Linked DNA regions of Bombyx mori. Each later gene encodes a partner of the first gene's protein in a complex. Links are inferred from orthologs where the notes say so. Each region holds a gene or a part of one and is shown on either strand. Other genes may lie near its edges.

Region 1 (4,279 bases):
ATAGTATGTTTTGTAATTAGATAGTATGTTTAAATTATCACAAAAAGTATATGAAATTCTAAGCAAAACATGACAAGACATTCAATTAACAAATTACTACTAACCGGTAGGATCTGAATCAGCTTCTTCATAATCAATTTCCAAACATGCAAACATGGGATTTTCAAATCCAACATCAACACCAACCATGTGATAAACTAGTGTGTTTGACTTGTGAGCTTCAAGTGGTGAAGATATTGTTAGTCGAGCTTCTGCATCTCTATTCAAAATGTATACCAATTTCTGTTTTTCAATTGCACCTAAAATTTAAATAAACTTTGAGTACTGATTTTGTAAATTTCATTTGAGCAAATAAATTGGAATGTAATGAATTTAATATTGTACCATTCAAAGTACAAAAAGCAGTTTTATAAGATCAGACAGTGAAAATTGTTTTTTTTTTTTTATTGTATGGTATTGTAAATGACAGTATTTCAGAGATAACCAAAAGTTAGTGATTGACCAAGCATCATTGGAATTAAGATATTTATATCTTTTTACTGATGTTTTCAAAACAGTAAACCTGTTTTTCGATTTTAGAGTGAGATAATCACCTTAAAAAAAGACATGTGCGATTTTTGGTCTCAAATCAATGCATCACATGTGTGGCATAACTAGAGTCCCATTATTACTTATCTTAATAATTATATTTTCCAGTTTATTGGTTCACATCACCATAAATGCCAATAAAAATTTACAGTATACATTAAAAGGTACAAACAAATTAAATTACAAAAGGTCCAATTGAAATTGTATGCACAAACAGTGCTTAAGTAAACTTATACTAGTTTCCCTTCAATAAACCAAAATCAGAGAAAACAAATCTTACACCCGTATCTTTAGTCGTTTACACGAGCTTGACTCGACTCAACCTCCAACGCGCGTTTTGGTATGCTTAGTCGTAAAAATAAACTCCACTCAAACGTCCTTGGAAAATTTTCCTAATCGGAGTGAAGTAAGCGAACTGTCAAGTCAAGGTACGTCGCGACGTACCATGAACGTTCCTCAAGACTGGTTTTCTATCAATTTCCAAATAGTATGTGGACCGCAAATGGAAATATATGATATTGTTGTGCAATGGCCTGGATCTGTGCATGATTCGCACATATTTTGATAATTTTTATTAATAAAGTAAATAGTTCGAGGTTAGACTCTTGTTTAGACTAGTGGTTAGATATTTGAAACTCCTTATTTACCTACATAAGAGTCATATTTTGCTTACTACCTAATAAATAAAGTCAAGCTTGATCAAATTTTAATCATTATTACCTCACTCGAGGACAGTTGATGAATATTGTAATGGTCGACTAAAAATACCAAACTCGAGTAAGTTTGGGAGGAATGCTCGAGCATCATCGGATGAGTTAAGAGGACTATTTGACGAAACGTCTAAAGATACGGGCATTAGAATTTAATACTCCACGTTTTGTACCACTGAATATCAGCAACTCTGGCAGATTTTCGAGACGAGAAGAAAGTCTTATGGCTTTGTAGCAGTGCTAAAGGTTAATTGTAATTTTTAGTTGCAGCATTCCAAAACTACTCTTTTGGAACCCAAAACTAAAATTGATTCAAGAGGTAGGTATTATGAAAAAGTCCATACCAATCATAACAGCTCTTCCTTTAGGATCAATTGATAGATATTGACCAGGAACTATTCTCCTACAGCCAGATTTACCAAATGTTTCTTGATGGACTTTCTCCAAAATGTTCTTAGTTGGGATGTACTCCAAAATGATGATACGTCCAGAATCAGAACCAACCACAATGTAATCTGCAGAAAATTCTATATTTTAATGTTGTGTTCTATTGTTCGTAAGTTCAGGGTTAGGTATAACTTTGGAGATTTAGGTTATTTTTGCGTTTATAATGTGTGCAATAATCTATCATGTTAAGCATGCTACAAAGTCAAGAGTCATAAAAGTTCACATTATCTGTTAGGATTAGTTTGTTCCATTGCGGTACATCCCAACATTGAGAAAATGCAAGGAGCGACGCTTTGGCCATATTTTGTGCATCTAGTTATCCCATGTTCTTTGTGTTATAAAAAACATGGAGCAAGATGATGCAGTGTTATTTTCGATCTTATATAATGTAAAAATATTGGATTTGAGAGGAAATTCTGGGATTAAGATAATTTAAAAGAGATAAGCTACACAGTTCAATGGACCACATGGTCACATGGCCAAAGTTTACTTACCTTTTGTTCCTCCGGTTAGACGAAAAGCCATAATAGACCGAACTACACCAAATATTTCAATTTTCATTAATGTGTGGACCTTTCCCGTGTTCGGATCTGGCCGTAACAATTCAAGTGTTTTGCCACGTGATATAATAATCTCCTGTTGCTTAGTTCCAGAGAAATTTCCATGTACGGCATGTGTTATGGCAGATGAACCTTGCAGTGTTAAATTGTAGAGATACATCGTGATCTTATTTTAACCTATCCCTGAAAATAAATCGGGTTAGGTTAGTTAATTTATCTTTTCAAATAATTAAGCAACTGAAACAGAGGTGTGGAATTAAAATGTAGGGCTCGTAACTGACGAAAGCAGAAAGGATTTTGTGCTTTCGAATGGGTGAGCTTTCTGTTATAGCACCGAAAAAACGACCACGATTAATATATAATTTATCGTGGAGATACCTAGTGCAAATACAAATTGAAATGCATCATAGTCTAGCAAAACGAGAGAATTAAAAGATTACCTTTAAATATTAGCAATTGATGGCCGCAATGCGGCTCGATGCAGTATTTAATTTTCACGGGTGAACCGGCACAAGCAGTTGCCGGTAAAATGGCGGATTCAGAGCACGCCATTGAGCTTCGTTTTCACGGACCAATCAAATGAGAGGATTTTGCATCATGGCGTCGAGTTTTATAGAGGAATGTTGCCATATAAGAAATATTTTAGTAGCTGTTTTCTGCCATCTGTTGTTGGGTAGTGAAACTTGTAGCACAGGCTTTCAACGAATGAGCAACGGCTATTTTTTGTCAATAGATGTCCATTGCAGTCCACATAACATGCAATGAGATATTTAAATAGACAATAAAAATAACTTTAATTTACCTTAATAGATAATAAAGCTTCAATGTTAGTTCATTAATAACAAAAGTTTTATTAATAATAAAATCAAAATTAATTTAGTTAAAATACAGTTATATTAAATGTATTTACTTAAATTATTCGGAATTACACGTATTAAGACACATCTAATCTCACTAGAGATTTGATAAGGATCTCTCTCTCAAATTCTTCCTAGTTACAGACATCGAGCTCACCGCTCACTTTGTGTTAAATTGTTACGTGAAAAAAGGGCCAAATCATAAAGTGAATGCAATGCAACGTGCTTCCAACGTAATTATTTCCGACTGATTTTGAAAGGTCGTCGGAGATATACAATGTCCTGACTAAGGCCTCGGTTCAGTAATCTCGGTAGAGTTCCTCGGTAGGGCGGCAGTAGACAAATCTCCCTATCCGTTCTGCTTTTTGATAGCTGAGCGAATACGCAATTATTTTTTTCTGTCTGCCCAGTGAGCGCCTGTCAGTCCAAAGGTGAGGCACCCTGCTGTCTTCTTGAGAATTGGCGAATAGGCTGTACATCTTCTAGAGTCCTTAAGCCTAATGGAAAATTGTATTGTTTTTCTGTAACTGTAACTGTACCTTTTCTGTACCTTTGGTCATATAAATATATAATTATGTATTTATTTAGGTACCGCCAGAGCGTTTTCTGAACGGAATTAAGGATAGATTTTATTGTGATTTGTACATCATGTACGAAGGTGGGCGAGGGAATCGATTTATCTTAACACCAAGTGGTCCGTTACTCCGATGATCAATCTATTTTAAAAAAAAAAACAAGTAGAATCGCTGCGTGCATAATGGTTTGCAAGGCCATAATTGTGCTATGTGTTGTCCCTGCATTATGTTTTGTATCTTTTATTTTATTAATGCCGTTTGGCAGACGAGCTCAAAACTCTACCTGCTGTTGAGGAATTACCGAGCAGACATCTCAACCTAGATCCCGTCATCCACATGAACATTATAAGCTGATCACCCAATCGCATAATATCTGTCGCACACCCATGTACATGCGGTTGGTTTGTGATAATTTTTTTACAGTATGTAATAATATTGGTACAGCCTTTTAATATGTATCGTAATTATTACAAGTAACGTGAATTTATAATGTTGGCAGATATTAGTACTAAATATTGGGATCTTTCATCGTGGGATTGGTT
Region 2 (3,659 bases), on another chromosome or scaffold:
AATGGGTATTGTGGCATTGAATCTAATGTTATATTTCGTTTTGCAAACTGTAAATATTGTGGTTTGCACGAAATCACTGCGCACAGGCAGAGATGCTTTAGAAGATGAGTACCCGTACGTTGTGACGGTCGAGTTAAAACTCACGAATACTACGACGAACGCTCTGCTGTGCTCGGGGTGCGTGCTGACCCCGACCTGGACCCTGACCACCGCGCGCTGCGTCTCCAAAACCGAAGACTTGCTAATCCAGGATCCGAAGATGTCATGGGTGGTGTACTATGGACTCACGCAGAAACCTTCCCAGGACACCGCCATCGCGATCCTTTCCGGAATAGTCCACCCCAGATATGCCGCGTCACCGAGAATGCTTCACAACGACATCGGCCTTCTGCGCACCGATCCCATCACCCTTAAACAGTTCGCCAAATTGAGCGCCGTTGACATGTTCTCTATGAACGGTTACGAAGTTGAGCTAATAGGCTTCAAGTCGACCAATGATACCAGTGGAAAATTGAAGAGAACTCTACAGATTTCATCGGTTGTGGTGAAGACTTGTGAAGGCACCGTTACTTATCCGGGGATGTGTTTGGCTCGGTCCTGCTCGTTGACCGACGCTTGTCACCAGGAAACTGGAGGTATAGCCATCCACAGCACCGGGGTCATAGCACTCCTGGCCAGTGGACGCAAGAGGGACTGCTTGGAGAACAATGAGAGACAGCAGGCCTATCAAATTGAGACAATGACTTCAATTGTGCCATATATAGATTGGATTCATACTCATATCAAGAGCTAATAGTAGCTAGTGTAAGATTGGTGTCAGAAGCTTCAGTGAACGGATGAAATTTGTATTGTTTTCTCAATAAAAGTGTTTGTTTATGAGCTTTATTTGTATTTAGCTTTTAAAAGCAATTAAAAATGCTCAGTTAACTTGATGATTACCCGCCTTTAGTTAAGCCTGCTCACTAAAGTATTGATATTTTACACTGACTAACTTTGTACGCTTCGGGCTTGTGTTGGATCAATGTTTTATCTTCTCGTTATTTTACTTGCTTAGCTTATACTGTTGTGTATGCACAAATGAAAGATTCCAAAGCAGACTGGTTTATTTTTGCATCTACCCGCCATTTTATAATGCGATTTAATATCTATACATAACACTTGTAATAAAGGGAGGTGGCGGAATTCATGGAATTCATTTGGTGAACTATATCTGATGTTTATAGGTTCCGTGAAGCTGTTGACCTGGAGTTGGCCATTAGTTTGTTCAAATAATTGTTCCATGCTCTCTGCGACATACGCCTTAGTAACTTCTTACTGCATTTCCAAATAGTAAGGAAATTGTATAATGGTAAACATGACGTAATAGCTTAGGTTATTTGAAGATACACTTTTTTAACGAGCATAATAAGAAATACTATTGCAACATTCTCTTCGAAACTCGTTTAAGATACTCATTACGATTGATTACAATTCAGGTTAAAGGTCTACTCCCCGACGAGGAGAAAGAGAAAATAGGTCCGAAGCCAGTGACCGGGGCAGCCCAGAGCCGGGCGGGGCGTCCCCCCGCGCCCCCCTCTGCCCCCCGCGCTGCTCCGCCTCCCCCGCCCCCGGCACCGCCTGTGCTGCTGCAGCCGATGTCCTCGCTAATGGTCCTGCCCCCCATGGCGCCCCGACCTCCGCTCATACCGGCTCCAGTGGGTACGTATACTCGAACACTGCACACATTCCGTACAACATGGCGCTAAGATCGCGTGCCTGATTTACTGGTGCCGGACAATGTACATGTAGTCTTAGGGAGTTAAGCTACAGATTAGAGGAAGAGTTGATGGAATGATAGAGTAAAGTGACATCTGAATGTGATCGCTGTGAGGGGATCATATGGTCAAAGTGTTCTGTGCAGGGGACCGACCCATCGTGGGTCGGTGAGTATCGGCTTCGGTCTGTGCACCCACGGTGTGTTGGACCCCACCTAACGCCAGTTGAGCTGTAGATTCGCGTGCCAGTAATGCATGCAACTATCCAAATATTGTGTGTGCTTCTTGCATAACACATCCGCTCAGTACATTTTGTACCAATAATGTGATTGCATCGCCTTAGGTGCAGTACCACCGCCGGCGTTCAACTTCGGAGCGGTAGTCCCTCCGGGCACAGTGGCGGAGCCCGAGGACGAGGGCCCGGCCGCTAAGAGAGCCCGCACCGAGGACGCGCTGGAGCCCGAGGGCGCCTGGCTCGCGCGCCACCCCGGCGCAGTCCCCCTGCAGGTGGGCTACCAGTAACACTACAATGATTGCTCTTACGCTAACAAACATTACAACTACAAACAAATAGAAAATCGGTCCAGTGTTTTTTTATTTTTTTTTATTGCTCAGAGGGGTGGACGAGCTTACAGCCGACCTGATGTTAAGTGGTTACTGAAGCCCATATACATCTACAACGTAAATGCGCCACCCACCTTGAGATATAAGTTCTAAGGTCTAAGTATAGTTACAACGGCTGCCCCACCCTTCAAACCGAAACGCATTACTGCTTCACGGCAGAAATAGGCACGGTGGTGGTACCCACCCGCGCGTATTATTAATATACCCCCAATATTAATATGTAGACAGAAGTGCTCTAATTTAATACGGTTTTATTAGCTTCATACGTATGTTAGTAAGTAACGGAATCTTTGAACATGATTTTGACCCCCTTCAAAACGTCAGATTGATTCGAAATTTGGCATACTTATTAAGGACCGATTAAAATTCAATATTTTAAACAATTAGACTCGTTATCCTTACTAGGATAATCAGGAATAGCGATTTTTTGTTTTCCTGAGACCCTGAGTGTCTGCGTCAAAACCAAGATGGGAAACCACCAGGCCCGCTGATTACCTATTTCTCGGATAAGTTACCGACTGTATCAGATGAAAGTTTTGAAATATTGAAAAAAAAAATTAATAAATTAAAATTCAACTAAAAAAATAGAAAATAAATTTTAATTAAAAATAGTCTAAGAAAAAATTATATTATTGTAAAAAAATCGTGGGGCGCACTGTATCAATAGTTATAAATATTTTATGAACAGATATGAGTAGAAGGGCTATTTTGATAATATACTGAAAAGCACCCGTACCTCCTACGAGGTCTCCGCGCTTAGGAGGCGCGCGGGGTAGGTACGTGGGACTGGTCCGCGACTGCGAGACTGCGGGCCCAAGGATGTTTTCAGGGCCCTAGAGTGGTGGTACCTACCCGTGCGGACTCACAAGACGTCCTACCACCAGGAATGCATTATGTTAATTGTATGATATTGTACCCTAATGCCCTTGTCCCTTGTGTCGGCAGGTGTCGTTGCCGGCGGCGCCTGAGCGCGCGGAGTGGCGGCTGGACGGGCGCGCGGTGCCGCTGACGCTGCCGCTGTCGGCCGCCGTCGCCGAGCTCAAGGCCATGCTGCAGCGCGCCACCAACATGCCCACCGCCAAGCAGAAGCTGCACTACGAGGTATCCCGACACGCTCAAATACTCGCATAGCTCACCGTAACAAATGATTAGCCATATTTTTTCCCCGGTTTTGACAGACCATATTAGCGTCAGGCGAATAGGTGAGCTCATGGGGCTCAAATCTGACGTTGTTGCTAACACGAACCCTAGCAAGAGCTGTGCTTCGCAGAATCTTCCATC

What was found. Proteins that work in one complex are often made in the same cells at the same time.
Region 2: splicing factor 3B subunit 3 (region 1) and splicing factor 3A subunit 1 share a complex: the UniProt entries of both Homo sapiens proteins name them as parts of the 17S U2 SnRNP complex. The link is inferred for Bombyx mori from reciprocal best matches to the Homo sapiens genes SF3B3 and SF3A1.

Annotation. Positions count from the first base shown.
Region 1 is NC_085117.1:14,815,446-14,819,724, forward strand, and holds the start of splicing factor 3B subunit 3, read right to left. Parts: upstream 2,907-4,279; 5' UTR 2,746-2,906; intron 2,489-2,745; 5' UTR 2,466-2,488; coding exon 2,240-2,465; intron 1,814-2,239; coding exon 1,643-1,813; intron 300-1,642; coding exon 105-299; intron 1-104. UniProt on the Homo sapiens protein: Component of the 17S U2 SnRNP complex of the spliceosome, a large ribonucleoprotein complex that removes introns from transcribed pre-mRNAs.
Region 2 is NC_085112.1:2,362,104-2,365,762, forward strand, and holds part of splicing factor 3A subunit 1, read left to right. Parts: exon of another isoform or gene 1-1; coding exon of another isoform or gene 2-793; exon of another isoform or gene 794-1,475; coding exon 1,476-1,698; intron 1,699-2,097; coding exon 2,098-2,261; intron 2,262-3,323; coding exon 3,324-3,479; intron 3,480-3,659. Other genes in the region: transmembrane protease serine 3-like, read left to right, coding at 2-793. UniProt on the Homo sapiens protein: Component of the 17S U2 SnRNP complex of the spliceosome, a large ribonucleoprotein complex that removes introns from transcribed pre-mRNAs.